3 linked regions of the Caenorhabditis elegans genome follow. The protein of the gene in region 1 purifies or fractionates together with the protein of each later gene. This does not show direct contact. Each region holds a gene or a part of one and is shown in the gene's direction. Other genes may lie near its edges.

What was found. The genes of interacting proteins can lie anywhere in the genome.
Region 2: the proteins of alh-13 (region 1) and pycr-1 fractionate together in Caenorhabditis elegans (co-fractionation; one large-scale study listed by BioGRID). This does not show direct contact.
Region 3: the proteins of alh-13 (region 1) and glb-12 fractionate together in Caenorhabditis elegans (co-fractionation; one large-scale study listed by BioGRID). This does not show direct contact.

The regions. Positions count from the first base shown.
Region 1 is NC_003284.9:12,780,838-12,787,680, forward strand, and holds alh-13 (Glutamate 5-kinase), read left to right. Parts: upstream 1-1,556; 5' UTR 1,557-1,573; coding exon 1,574-1,645; intron 1,646-1,690; coding exon 1,691-1,797; intron 1,798-2,554; coding exon 2,555-2,711; intron 2,712-3,580; coding exon 3,581-3,702; intron 3,703-3,867; coding exon 3,868-4,120; intron 4,121-4,237; coding exon 4,238-4,613; intron 4,614-4,685; coding exon 4,686-5,233; intron 5,234-5,283; coding exon 5,284-5,746; intron 5,747-5,851; coding exon 5,852-6,162; 3' UTR 6,163-6,310; downstream 6,311-6,843.
Region 2 is NC_003284.9:12,144,967-12,149,303, forward strand, and holds pycr-1 (Pyrroline-5-carboxylate reductase), read left to right. Parts: upstream 1-1,865; 5' UTR 1,866-1,878; coding exon 1,879-1,945; intron 1,946-2,306; coding exon 2,307-2,557; intron 2,558-2,606; coding exon 2,607-2,819; intron 2,820-2,870; coding exon 2,871-3,083; intron 3,084-3,188; coding exon 3,189-3,280; intron 3,281-3,653; coding exon 3,654-3,699; 3' UTR 3,700-3,805; downstream 3,806-4,337. Other genes in the region: M153.5 (ShKT domain-containing protein), read left to right, coding at 1-63, 320-549, 883-974.
Region 3 is NC_003280.10:10,729,272-10,733,481, reverse strand, and holds glb-12 (GLOBIN domain-containing protein), read left to right. Parts: upstream 1-1,829; 5' UTR 1,830-1,919; coding exon 1,920-1,958; intron 1,959-2,104; coding exon 2,105-2,371; intron 2,372-2,430; coding exon 2,431-2,516; intron 2,517-2,587; coding exon 2,588-2,687; intron 2,688-3,215; coding exon 3,216-3,443; intron 3,444-3,496; coding exon 3,497-3,577; 3' UTR 3,578-3,678; downstream 3,679-4,210.

The DNA.
Region 1 (6,843 bases):
CGGAGTCGAGCAACACTGAGCCTGACACTGTTATCTTATCGGAAAGCACGAATTGTGGCGTTTGAGGAGTGACCCAACTCACATTCGTCTAGTATAGTCATATGGTGTTGACCACAATCCAATTTATTTAATTTTTTTTAAGTTTTTCCTTTTTATTTTCCTTTTTTTTACTTCAACATTCGAATTCGGTCTATTTTCAATGTTGTGTTATTTTAACAAAAATACAATCCAGTTTCTAGTCATGTCTGACAGATAGACAAATTATTTTGAAACCTAATGTAAAGTGCGTGCAAAATGATAATATTTCTGAGGGGTGTGATTCTTTGAACTAATTGAAACATCTCTTGTTTCAAAATGTTTAATCCCTACTAGTTTAAGGAAGTTTTTCTTGAAATTCTGTTTTCATAAAAACCAGCCGATGGGATAATGTAGAATTTCAACAATAAAACCACCACTACATATGCATGGTGAATTTTTAAATAAGCTGACTGTGTTAACATGATATGCGGAAAAATAAAAACAATCATAAATTATCCATAATATTGAGAAAATGCAACAGTTTTCCAGATTCACCGTAGAAAATCTAGCCAGATGCAAAAAAAACTGCATTATGAAATTTATCCCTGCGCAAATTCGTTTTTTTTTTCTCAAATTGGCTGGTAATCGGTAAAATTCAAGGGGTAAAATGCAAAATCAAAACAGCGGTCTAGGTGCTCTGCTAAATTCAAATTTCGGCTTGTAGTTTTTTTGATAATAACAGATGAAATTATCGCTGGTATTAGTTAAAAAATAATCCAGTTTCTAAATTATCAAAGTCTGGAGAAATATGACTTAAGTGTATTCTTTTGATTGCATTCAACAAAATATCCAATCTAAGTACCAAGTCCTCTCAATTTTAACTTATTGGCTCTAAAGTTACTCCTGTCTCTTATCAGTTGTACCCGAAACGTTTTCGCATTTTGTACCAATCCCACATTCCGAACCTTGAACCTTTTCACGTGAATGCCATTCATGTTCTCTGAACAGGATTCAAAAAAAATAGAGGACGTGGCACCACTTTCACCGTGTGTCCTCTACAAGGATAGGTCTGGTGATTATCAATTGCAAATTGAACGGGGAAATTAAAAATCGTGAGGTGGGGGGGGGGGGACGTGGGTAACGGACTGCGGAACCGGATTGCTGCGTGGAGGAAAGAAGGAAGATATACGATGACTAGGGGGAGTAAAATCACAACGTTTGTTTCTCCATATCGCTTAGGGTCATCCCCCGCTTGTAAAAATTCTTCTTTTTCTGCCTCTCGCTATTTTTTACAACTGTCTTTGTTTCAGAATGTGGTGCAATAGGGCATAATAGTTTAGCTATAAAAATTCGTGAATAACAGAGTTTAAGATTAAGAATTGAAATCGTTTGTAGTACTAAACTAACGTTTTTCTTTGGCCTAACGGATTCTTAAATACTTTAAAAATGCAGGTAACTCTTTAAACATTGTACTTGATTTCTTTATTTCCAAAATTTTTTTTGACTTCCTACTTTTCAGTTTTTTATTTCAAATTTATAGACACTCAAACTCAAGATGTTCCGCGCAACTCGATGTCTGCGACTTCCACTCAGAAACTCGCATATTAATATTCTCCGCCCAACACAGGTAAAACTACAATACCTCTTTAAAATTAAAAACAAGGAGTTGCAGACGGAACTTATTAAAACGAGATCATCAGCATTGGCACCATACGAGAAAGTAAGCCCAATCACAGCAGTAGGAGCAACTCCAGTTGGAGTTGGAAATGGAAATTACTGGTGAGTGAGTGTGGCTAAAATAAACCTAAATATGTGTGAAACCAGTTTTCAAAATTTTCCGCAGAAAAAAATATAGTTTTCACCGAGCCTAAGAGCTGATCCAAGGTTCATTCGTTACCCCTTCCCCCCCCCCCCCCCCCCATCTCTAGTATTTTTTTAAAGTTGAACACACATAATTTATTTATAAAATATGTTTTGGTTTGGGTGACTTTTAAAATTTAAGAACATTTTCCATTTTGGCAACTCTGGCCGGATATAAATAAATTCGGAAGAATATCTTAAATTTTCAGGTCTAGGAAAGGACATGTAAACATTTACCACACAAATATTATAACGTGAATGAGGAAGCATTATTCAAAACAAAAAACTTAAGAATTAAAATGAAACTAAACTATCAGTATCGTTTTTTAATCTCGAAAATTCATTAGAAGCAGAATACAAAATTACGAATTTCCGCTATAATACCACATCGTATAATGTAGTCATGTTAAGATATATTTCTTAGAACAACTCAAAAGTAGCTCAAGCTAAGAAGTTATCTATTGAATTGTGAGCTGAGAAACAGAAATCTCTAGTTTTTAACTGGAATCGTTCTTAAATCGCACGCTCATCTTTCTAATCTGAGTTTGAATGAAAATGAAATAACGTCAAGGTATCAACGATTTATTCGTGGATTCACAGTTGTCTCTACCCAAATCAAAACTGATAAGGGTTCGAGTCAACGAAAGTACACCTAGCAACGAATTCCGATTAATAGTTACAGCACAAAGACAAGGCAGAAGCATCCACTCATCAACACGAGAAATGACTTGAAAAAAGCGCAAAGAGTTGTTGTGAAGCTCGGAAGTGCAGTGATCACACGTGAGGACGAGTGTGGTCTCGCACTTGGACGATTGGCTTCAATTGTTGAACAGGTCAGTTTGAAAGTTTATTGGGAACGAGAAGAGGAAGAAAAAGCCTCCAATTATGTAATGCTATTTCGGGAAGTTGTATGCTTTTTAGTATTACCTACATTTTTTATTTCACGCAATATGAAAAACTTGAACAAAAAATTTAAGACAACAAAAATGTGAACAAATGAGCTTTGAAAAAAAAATAAAAATGATACTAAATTGCAATTACAAAAACAAGACAATATCGTGTCAAATTTTCCTTATATTTTTGAATAAAATAGTACAATTTTGACTCAATTTCGACTCATTACCAAGTCAGATGAGATATCAGCAAACCAGCATAACAAGAAAACTCTGAATTTTGAATTTTTACTTCCAAATTTCTGAATTGTGGGAATTCACCTGTAGCCTCGTTTTTCTGGAAGTCAGTTTTTTTTAAATTAAGCTTCTTATTCAAAGAATTTGAAAAAGAAAATATATTCTTCAAAAAAAAACTAATACCACAAACAGCAAAAAGACAACAAATCCTTGGTTCACTTACGCTTTTGAATTTGATTTTATCTAAGGTGAAGTTGGAAAATTTCGTTACTTGATGATTGGGGGTTGTCCAAAAATTAGAAATGTACAGATAACACCTGATTTTGAATGTCGCATATAGAATTCAGGAAGAATATTTTACTTAACTACGTTGAAAGAGAATAGGAATAAATATTCAAACAAAAAATACTAAGATTACCGAAAAACATTTACATTTAGGTTAATGAAAATTTGAAAATACCTACTTCCCACTTCCTAAACTGTGAAACCCTGATAAGAAGATTAAGATTTTGGAGAAAAAACACACAAACATATGTGGTAATATAATTTTCAATGTTCAATAAACATTTTAGGTTTCCGAGCTCCAACAGTCTGGAAGACAGATGCTTATTGTGTCATCAGGTGCTGTGGCATTCGGAAGACAAAAACTTCGGCAAGAACTTGTAATGAGCATGAGCATGCGACAAACTCTCAGGTGAGTTAAAAAATGATAGATTGTTTTACAAAAACATTTTCAGCGGGCCATACCCATTGAATATATTAGCCGTTTTTAGTTTTAGTTTTGTGTTTTTTCTACTGGTTAAAATTTTTAATAAATTTCCAGTTCCAAATAGGTATAATCCATGAGAATATTTTGTAGAGGTCCATCTGGAATGACTGCTGATAAAAGAGCGTGTGCAGCATCTGGAATGCCGGGACTCATGTCTCTTTATGAACAACTTTTCCAACAATACGGTATTACTGTAGCACAAGTCTTATTGACCAAGCCAGACATCGATGATGATCAAAGAAGAAAGAATCTACAGGCTACAATTGAAAGCCTTCTTTCACTCAACATTATCCCAATTGTCAACGCAAATGACGCAGTGGCACCAGATCCAAAGTTGAATATGGTGAGTTCGTCCGTCCAGTTGACCAGGAAGGAAGTTAAGTGAGCTACATTGTTGTGTATAATTGCCGCATGACATCACGCTCTTTTTCAATAATTTTTACCTTTTTTGAACTTTTAGCATATTTCCGACAATGACTCACTTGCTGCGAGGCTTTCCGCTGAAATTGAAGCAGAGCTACTTATAATTTTATCGAACGTCAATGGAGTTTATACTGGACCACCAGATCTCGAAGGATCTAGACTTCTCTACACATACGTTCCATCTGAAAACTCGGGGGTCACGTTTGGAGCAAACAGCAAATTTGGAACAGGAGGAATGGAGAGCAAGGTTACGGCCTGTGTAAACGCTCTTAACAACGGAGTTACCACAGTTATTACAAATGGGCTCGCGCAAGATGCTATCACCGATGCTGTGGCGGGAAAGAAGATCGGAACCATGTTCTGCAACACCAAGGGGTATGAAGGACCACCAATCGAGGAGGTCGCAGAGAAATGTATGTTATACTGGTTTTAAAAAAACTTTAGTCCTATGAATGTTTTTAATCACTCAATTTTTCTACTTTTAGGCCGCGACGCTGGTCGTCAACTAGCTGCTCTTTCCAACAAAGAACGTGGTGCAATGGTTCGCCACCTCGCTGCTCTCCTGGTTGACAAGGAAAAATATATCATCGAAGCTAATCAAACTGATCTTGCCAATGCCAAATCTGCTGGACTCGATCCACAACTCCTGAATAGATTGAAAATGACACCAGAGAAGATTCAAGACTTGCATGCTGGCCTTAATACAATTGCCGACTCCGCAGAGACACTTGTTGGAAGAGTTCTCAAGAAGGTCAAAATTTCTGAGGGCCTATTTCTAGAGCAGGTCACTGTTCCAATCGGTAGCCTAATGGTTATTTTCGAATCACGCCCGGATTGTCTTCCACAAGTCGCTTCACTTGCTATGGCTTCAGGAAATGCACTTCTTCTTAAGGGAGGAAAAGAAGCTGAAGAAAGCAACAAAGCATTGCATGCTCTTGTTCAGGAAGCTCTTGGAACACATGGATTTGAAATGAGGGACGCGGTTACTTTGGTCAGATCAAGAGAAGATGTGGCGGATTTGCTTCAGCTCAAGGTAAATATTTGTATCCGGAACCAAAACAACATAACATAACATTTTTGCAGGATCTTATCGACTTGATCATTCCAAGAGGATCATCCGACTTGGTGCGTTCAATGCAAGAAAAAAGCAAGGGAATTCCAGTGTTGGGTCACGCCGAAGGTGTTTGCCACGTTTACATTGACAAGGACTGTGACGAGCAGAAGGCCATTCAAATTGTTCGCGACTCGAAATGCGATTATCCATCAGCGTGCAATGCAGCTGAAACTATTTTGATTCATAAGGATCTTGCAACCGCGCCGTTCTTTGATTCTTTGTGCTCAATGTTTAAGGCAGAAGGAGTAAAGCTTCATGCCGGACCAAAACTTGCAGCTCTTCTGAAATTTGCCCCACCACCGGCAGAGAGCATGTCATTCGAGTATGGATCATTGGAGTGTACGCTCGAAGTTGTTGACAATGTTGAAGAGGCGGTTGCGCATATTATCCGTTACGGATCCGGTCATACTGAATCTATTATCACAGAGAACAGTGAGTCATTTGAGTTCGGCTTACTGAAATTTAAGATTACGCAGCTAAGCCCTGTTTTTTTCGAGTAAAAACAAAACAATTAATATGCAAAAATTATTTTTTCAGCCAACACAGCCGAACACTTCCTGAAACACGTAGACAGTGCGTGTGCATTCCATAATGCCTCCACTAGATTTGCTGACGGGTACAGATTTGGTCTTGGAGCAGAAGTTGGAATTTCTACTGGAAGAATTCATGCTCGTGGACCAGTTGGAGTTGAAGGACTTTTGACCACCAAATGGTTGTTGAGAGGAGAAGGACATTTGGTTGAAGACTTCAAAAATGGAAAATACTCTTACCTTCACGAGAATCTCAACCCAAGCGAAGTTTATAGAGCATTGGATGCTGCTGGAGAATTGAAGAAAGCTACCGCATAAGCTATTGTTTTTTCAGAACTTATTACACGAAAACGTTTAACTTATTAATAACTGGTTGTGGGACTCATTTTGTTTGTATGTACGTGCCTTTCAAAGTATAGAACAAGGAAGTAATATATATTTTATTCAATAAATTTTTCATGAAATACTTGATATTTAAAATTTGTTGCACTCATTGAAAAATGTTCAAGTCTAGACTAAATGCAGCCATTCGAACAAAAACTGCACAGAACACAAATAGCTTAATTATTCTTCTAACTTGCAATTTTTGCAGCTGTGATACATCATGAATTTCGAAATCAAACGTTCAAAAATTTAGAACACAGAATATTTTGTAGGGTAAGGTACATAATGGGATATTGCATTCTAATCCACAACGATGGCGCGCAAGGAATGCGGGAACTGCATTTTTCGGCGTGCCATTTCGCAACTCCGCCGCATGGTTTCATTTTAACTGTTTTTACCTATTTTCCGCACTTTTGAATAATTAAATGAATGCTAAATGAATTATTTTGCAAGATGGCGTCAGATCAGTTTAGAATCAACTCTCTAACTGTTTTCTCCTGGTCCTCTTCCCGTACCAAATTTTTTGTTGTAACAAGAACGATGCTTGTAAGGTACTGGTATTGAAAAAAAAACACTAAATTATTCAACAGATTGTGTATACTCCCATGATAAGAA
Region 2 (4,337 bases), 640 kb from region 1:
TCCAATGAAAGCTACATGCATAGATAGACGAGGAGGAGACTGGTGCCAAAAAATGGCAAACAGGTGAGATTCACTGGAAATTTAGGGAAAAAAAGAGATTAAAACAGACACATATTTATAACCAACTTTAAAACATTTTCGAGACCGGCAAAAATATGAATCTTGAGGAATGACACTAGAAAACTTGAAAAATTATAAATAAGACTTGAGCATAAAGTTATTGATACCTTTGTATTTTTGCTAAGCAAATTCCATTTTGTATAACACAATTAAATCAGAAAAAAATTATAAAACCTCCACTACACTACAATTGCTTCAGAGAGAACTATTGGCAAGACGCAAGTTTCAGCACAATTGGTGGTTGTGGTGCTTTTCCGTCGGCATTCCGAGAGTGTCGAAATACATGTGGATATTGTTCAGCAACAATGCAAATGACTGTTGTTAAATATGACTATCGACTGGCAACAAGCACACCACGATGTGATATTAAAACATATTTTGCCAGGACGGATGTTGAAATGAAAAAGCGATACAATCCGGCTAAGAAAGGTGAGTGGAGATATATATTAATAAAAAATAGCATTATACATTTTCCAAAAATTGCTCAAAGTTTCACGCGAACAGAAAAATGACTCACAATTTAATACAGGTTTAGTTAGTCAAATGACGTCTTGGAAGCTTTTTTTGTGACTGCATCGAAAAATAATACTCGAGCGAAGATGAATAAAATTTTTAAATTATTTTAGAAACGTTGAGAATTGGCCGGTGGATGACTGAATATGTAGCTAATCAAACTGCCTATGAAAAATGAAATACAATGATTTTTAAAAGAAAATATTGCATGTTAATATGACCTTCCAAAAATTGTACAGAAATTTCCAGAATTCGACCCACTTGCCCGACTAATATGGAAAAGGCCAAAAGACACCGATTACTTCGTTGTTGAAGATCACAATTACGAGGATTTTATGTAATTATATAAATCTATTTTAATACATGTTACGATACTCAGAATTTATAAAGTTGTTTTAAAATTTATGAATAGAAAAAAAAACATTTTAAAAATGATCAATATAAAATGGGGAAACAATGCAAGCGAACAGAAAAATGCATCGGTGAGCACTACCAAAAACCGATAACAACAGTGCGCTCTCTCCGTGTGGTGATGATGATGACGTGGCAATACGATAATAAATCTGAAAACAAGGGAGAGAGGGGTTAGAGGTTATATCGTATCTCTTTTCATTTTCTTTTGTATATTTGATAAGATTAATGCTATATAAGGATATCACAGGATTCAAAGAATTCTGTTCACTTTTCCCAATCGATTCTAGAACCTGCCCTTTGTTCTGTCTTACGTGTTTTTTCCACACAAGCTTTGCTTCCTTTTTCACCATTTTGCGTAACATTGCAACGCGTCTGCTGCCTAAAATCGGCTATTAAAATGTCATTTTATCAACTAGATCTCCCCAATATCTCTTCCTTTTCCAATTTCGTCATGTTTTCTGTTAACTTTCTTGCTGAAAACTGTTTTTTTTTGTATTTTTTGAATCCTTAATTAACAGTTTACTTAACAGTTTTATTAAGCTTTTCAATTTCAAAGTATACATGACCAAAAACGAGTGAATATGGACACTTGATTATTATCAGTTATCAGTATCACGGTTTTGTTATCAAGCGCAGTGTTTTGGCCCCTTTCTCTCTCTCCCTCTCTCGTCCTTACTTCATGTGTTTGCATAGTATTGATAACTTGTTCGTGTTGTCAGGAATCGGTGGTCAGCGGTCACTATTAAGCACTCTTACTTCTTTCTTGTTTAGATTTTTCTCAAAATGTCGACTTTTTTTTTGACAAACTAAGCTTTCAGATACACACTGAAAATGAAGATCGGATTTATTGGAGCTGGAAAAATGGCTCAGGCTCTTGCCAGAGGCCTCATCAACTCAGGTAAACATTATTGGTTTCAGAAATTATTGATTTCAATTGCTAATCTTGGGAACTGTTTTTATAAATCCAAAGCCTGAAAGTATACTAAAACTCGAAACCTAGTCTATAATAAAGTTGCTTCATAAAGCACGTAGAAGTAATTTTTTCTAGGAACTGGTATTGGTAACAGCAAACAGTCCAATTAAAGCTAAGTACAGATTAAATTACAGATTTTGTTAGATCTAGCAAGTCAAATGTTTATGAGTTCTGTTAATATTACTGTCAACTACTGAGTACAATTAAAAGTTCAAAATTAAAATTTGTTAAAAATTAATTATGCCATGCATAACCAATTCCAAACTAACACCTCGCAAAATTGCAGGCAGAATCACAGCAGACAACATTATTGCCAGTTCGCCAAAACGCGATGAAGTGTTCCTTGACCAATGCAAGGCACTAGGGTTGAACACTACTCATGATAATGCTGAAGTTGTGCAAAAAAGTGATGTTGTGTTTCTTGCCGTCAAGCCAGTGCACGTGAGCAAAGTTGCTTCTGAAATCGCTCCAGCCCTTAGCAAAGAACATTTGGTAGTTTCTATTGCACTTGGAATCACTATAAGAAATATTGAATCGGTAGGCTTACTTAATTGAATAGATTACTCGGTGATATTGAAATTTCTAGCTTCTCCCAACGAAATCTCGAGTGGTACGTGTCATGCCAAATACCCCATCAGTTGTTCGCGCCGGTGCATCAGCGTTCGCCATGGGATCTGCTTGTCGTGATGGCGACGCCGAAACTGTAGAGAAACTCTTGAGCACTGTTGGTTTTGCAGTGGAGGTTCCAGAAATTCATATCGACCCAGTAACAGGACTCTCCGGCTCTGGACCAAGTTATGTAAGTACAATAAAACTTTGAAATTTCAAAAATGTAATAATCTTTTTGTAGATGTTCGCTGTGATCGAAGGGCTTGCTGACGGCGGTGTTAAAGTTGGACTTCCACGTGACCTTGCTCTGAAGCTTGCGGCTTATACTTTACTTGGAGCCGCAAAGATGGTTCTAGAAACTGGTATTCATCCAGCTCAGTTGAAGGATGACGTTCAAAGTCCTGCAGGTTCATCAGTATATGGAATGCACAAATTGGAGAGTGGAGGGCTCAAGGTACATACCGTGATGCGATAGAGAGATGATGCTTTAGTTTCAATGAGCATAGTACATGATTAGAATAGGGTCACTTGGCCTGATAAAAATGTGATCACGTTACAGGGTGTTCTTATGGATGCTGTCGAGGCGGCTACAAACCGGTCAAGGGCTACTGGAGACAAGGCGTTGCCAAGAGACTTCCGAAATACCGAGATGTGAATATAAGAGACTTACACATTCATCGTTGTTCTCTAATTTTGTCCAATTTTATTTATCTATCTCTTTCTCATTCTCTTGACCGCTCTTTAATTTATTTTCCTGTCCTCCCGCCCACCTATCCTTTGTTACGCAAAAAACGTGCCTTCCCAATATGTTCCCCTTGCTCCTAAAACAGGTGTCTGCATGTAATCCGGAAATAGACCAAAAGTAAACTCAGATTTTAATATGGTTAACACATGTATTAATACACAATTTAGCAGATTTAGTTCTAAGTTAGAATAATTTTTGTGGTCTCTCCTTTTTACCTTTTGTTTACTTTCGTTAAAGCTAAGGAGGTGAAAGCTGGAATTTCATATAGCTAAATTTCAGAGAAACGGAAAAAATGATGGAAAGTGCACAACAACAAAGGACATGATAAATTCGCACAAATTTTATTTCATTTATTTTAATTTCGGATTTGAAATATCTGGAAATACGTATTTCATTTAGGCATATTGTCTCTAATAAAATAACCAATCAAAAAAAATTTGAATAATATTACAAGAACATTTTTTAAAAGTTTTACAAGCGTGAAAAAAACTATTTATACTGACTACAGCGCATGCAATAAAGTTGTGCAGAAAATTTACAAATTTCCCTGTCAAAAAATTTTAAGTTTTAGACACCGGACGGTTCAATTTTTGCATTTATTTTTTTTTTTTCGTATGTAATTAAATTAAATAACTTGTTTTTACAAGGCCAAGAAAGTTGTTGTTACGGTATAATCTAGCGTCTCTCAGATATTGGACAGAATCAAGAAGCTTTTTATAGCTCTCTAAAAGTGTTTTTAATCACAATTTTGAAGCTAATGTTGTTGTATTTAACTTCTGGTCTTATTCTGACTTCTAAAAAAATCATTAAAAATTGTATGAATCTTCCTAATATGGTTTAAACAAATTTTGTGATATGACTTGCACTTGGAATTGGTACAATTTCAGAGTCAGTGTGAAAAATTTGCCCATAAGATCACATAAACTCACATAAACTTTTTTCAATTCGAATATTTCGCAAAAA
Region 3 (4,210 bases), on another chromosome or scaffold:
ACTTTTTCACGTTTTGTTAAGGTTTCTGTTATATCAGAAGGAACAGGTTTTAATTAGGTGTAACCTAGAGGAAAATTTTTGAGTTTCAAGTAAGATTATGCCTATTTTTCTTCCATACTTGTTTCAATTCTCGTTTTCAAAAAATCAACAAAAAAAATTCCTGGAAAATTAAATATTTCTCTTTTTTTTTCTTTTTCAATTTTTCTTGGAAGTCAGAACTTTTGGAATTTGGAGAGCGGCAAGCAAAGTGAAAACAATCAAATTTCTGATCAAAAACTATAGCAAAACTATCTAGTTGAGCATGAGAATTGATTATTTTCTGCAATGCGGGTGCTTGAATTTGAAAGATTGAATTGTTTTCTATACAAATTTCAGACTATTTTTGTTCATGAAATCTGCAGTTTTAATATTTCCGATTTTTACAAATTAACTGGAAATTTCTGAAAATATTCATGCTTCAATTTTTAGATATTTTCAGATATTCTGGGTGTCAAAATGGACATAGTATTCGTGTATAACATGTTCTCAGCTTTTAAAAAATATAAATTTCAACCCAAAAATCGCAATTTCATTTTTTCTCCATTTTTTTGGAGGCAAACGTCCACTTTGGTTTTTGAGAGCGGAGAACGATTTTGGAGATTAACCAACATTTCTGATAAATTCTTTAAAAATTCAATTGTGGACTTAAAATACCGTGGTTTAACAAAATTTGAAGTGAAAATGTTTAAAAAAATTAAATGGGCAAAAATCAAAAATTTGAGAAAATAACCAGAAACTAGGAAGCCGGTAGACCATGAATTGCTACTGCCGTTTATAAATCTGCCCCACCAGCAAACTATGTTCCAAAATAACTTGAATTCAAACTCCACAAATTTTGTCCCGTTCCAGAAATCTTTGATCCACTGAACTTTTACGTGCACCTGTTACACTTTTCCCGCCGGATCTTGAGTTCAAGCTTCTAACAAGTAATAAAACAGCCTACGTATAAATACATTTATAACATTAACATTCGAAAAACCAATAGTTCACCTACTTCCTTCTCTTCCCTTATTATTTCTTGTCAGAACTCTCTACTATAATTTCGCAGTTTTTTGTCACTTTGTTTATCCCACTTCTTCGTATTTTTCCCTCTTCTGCCTTCTTCTCACTTTTTTAAAGCAATCATTTGGTTATATTCATACTTTCTATAAGTTTTTGGGAAGAAGAACACTGATTTTTGATATGCGTCTTTTCTTTCGGAAAAGATCCCCGAGAAAACTCAAGTCTAGTCTCAGATTTTGACAAATTTAAGTGTTAAGCTGACAAGGAAAAGTTTCGATTTTTTTAAATGTTTCATCGAAAATTAGGATTTTCAAAAAAGCTCATTTTAATAGGTCCCCACAAAAATTATACTGCTTGGAAGCATTTTAAACAAGGCAAATTAGATTTAAAAGATTTCTCAAAATCTACAGTTTTTTATTATGCTTTGGGTCATAGGAAAAGTTTGAGATCTTTTCAAAACAAAATTATTAACCCTAAAAAATCTAATTTTTTCCACAATGAATATGGCTAAATTTTCAGTTAGGATTTATTTGATTTCCAAGATCTAACTGGCCATTTCCACAATTTAAGCCAAAATTCAAATTAGTTTTCAGCCTTGTGAACGCGAATTTATGTTGCTCTGTTCCCCGTCATCCCATAAAAAATCAGCCGTCTTCCGTTTTATGACTACTTCAACACACAAAAAATCCAATCATCATTCCATTGCCACGTCATAATTGAGGCTTATTCAATTTGTCTTCTTCATGTTTACTCACTCCTTCTCCTTTTTCAGAGTCTTTCAATTTCAAATTTTCAGAACATTTCCTGATTGAGGTGATGAGAAGTTGTGCTTAAGATTTTTAATAAAACAAGTATCGTTATAAATCTATATATTTTCAATGGGTGCCACATTATGTGCACCGAAAAAGAAAAAAACCGTGAGTTTTGAGCTTGATTCGGAAGATGAACATTTCTCAAAAATTTTTGGATTTTTTACATTCTTTTCAAAAAAACAGTACATAAGAATAGAGAACTACAGTACTCTTTAAAGACGCACAGAACATTTTAAAAAATTATTTTCCAGCAAGTCGGAGCATCTTGGGTCGGAAACGAATCTGAAAATCCATTTGACTTAGCCCTCAATAAAAAAGACCGTACTCTGTTACGTGAAACTTGGCAAAGGCTAGATGATCCGAAGGATATTGTTGGTCTTATATTCTTAGATATTGTCAATGATATTGAACCGGACCTCAAGAAAGTGTTTGGCGTGGATCGGGCTCCGCGAGCCGCGATGCTGAAAATGCCGAAATTCGGAGGGCATATTCTAAGATTCTATGAGTTCATGGAGCAGGTTAGCTGTCTAAACTACATTTTTAAGAGTATTTTTTGAACTCAAATTTATTATTCCAGCTCACGTCAATGCTTGGCACGTCTGAAAATCTGACGGGTGCATGGCAATTGGTACGAAAAACGGGAAGAAGTCATGTCAGACAAGGGTAAGTGCGCAGGTGCAAATGCCGTCACTTTGTATGATTATATAGTCCAATGCCATTTGATGATTTTTCAGTTTCTTGGAACAAAATCAGAACCAGATGGAGAAGAACTATTTCGAAATTGTTATAAATGTATTTATCGAGCGATTAATTCCATTTCTGACGGGTGAACAGGTGAGATTGTGGGATCAGTTAGGTCAAGCTAGTTTGAAAGTTCAACTAATTGATTTGTTGGAAGGTTTATTTGGAGTACAACTCAATCAAATTATTTTCTAATAAAGGAATTAATTGAGCTTGATTTCTGAAAAAATCTATATAATTCGAAAAAGAAATTTTGCGGTCGAGAAGCATTTTGAAAATTTTCCCGAACGTAGATTAGGATGTTTGTGAGCGAGGAAATTACTTGAGCTGTTTTCAAAAAAATGTTTGTTTTTCTTTTTAAAAAAGGTGCAATTTTTGATCCAGTTGGGCAAAATAGTTGCGGGTTTTTTCAAAAAATTAGAATAATATTTTCAAATAAGTATTTTTAAATGTTACTTCAGATCGGATTTTTTAGTTCTTTGTGATCCTCTTCCTATAAATTCTTGTAGATACCTATTCGAAATAAGATTGTTTAAATTAAATTGGTTTTTTTTTCTAAAAAAGTTCATAATCTCCCCTCGTAAAACAAAAAACCTTTTCACCCAACAAATATGATTTTAGGAGCTTCCATCATCAGAAGGAAAAGAGAACAAAAAAGTGCGATTTGCTCAAAACTACACCACATCTCAAATCACAGACGTCTGGAAGAAGTTCTTAAACACAGTAATTAGTCAAATGACTGACTCATTTGAATTGGAAAGAGCAAAACAGAAGAGTGCACAAACAACAAAAGCCTTGGCTCCACATCAACATATCGAGATTTCGGAAAGGAAGAAGAAGAGGGTGGCGGTATGTTATTAGTTGATATCATACATTTGTTAATTTGATATTGGCATTTTCAGGAAAAACAAAGCGAGATTGAAAATACGGCAGTTTCAAATGAACCAAAAGCTCAAGAGCAAATGTTCGAAGATCCATTCTGAAAGTATATTTTTATAGTGATATACCATATAAAACATATTGACACTGAAAAAACACTGATAAATAAAACTGATTAAATTTATTGAATAAATGATTTTTTTTTGATTTTGTAGCACATTTAATGCACAAAAATGAGCTAAGCTTTTTTTGCTATTGCGTCACACAAAGACATGCAATTTTGGAGACAAAATAGCATTGCTGAATTAGGTTTAGATACATTTTTATGTGAATTGAAAGTCAGAGCCAATTACGTTATAGGCCGATTATTTTTCGAGTTTATGTATATGAGGTTTTATCCTCTTGAGGATCTATTCCATTTCGGTAAGAGGATTCAAAAAAAGTCAACTAACAAATCACTAAAAATTCAAAATACATTTTTCCGTCGGCAACATTTTAAAATCGTAATTATTTTGCCAAGATATGATAGTTACCTAAGCGTTTTTTGTGCTGTAAGTAGGACGTCAAGTTTGAAAATGCAAATTTCATTTTTCACCAATTTTTCAAACGATGTTAAAAAAGAGTATAGAATATTGCTTAGTTTGCTCTCCAGCAACCACAATTCACGATACTGAACAAGTTTTTTTTTAACCAAAATATTTATTAATTTGTTGAAAATATAATCTAACAAATTATTT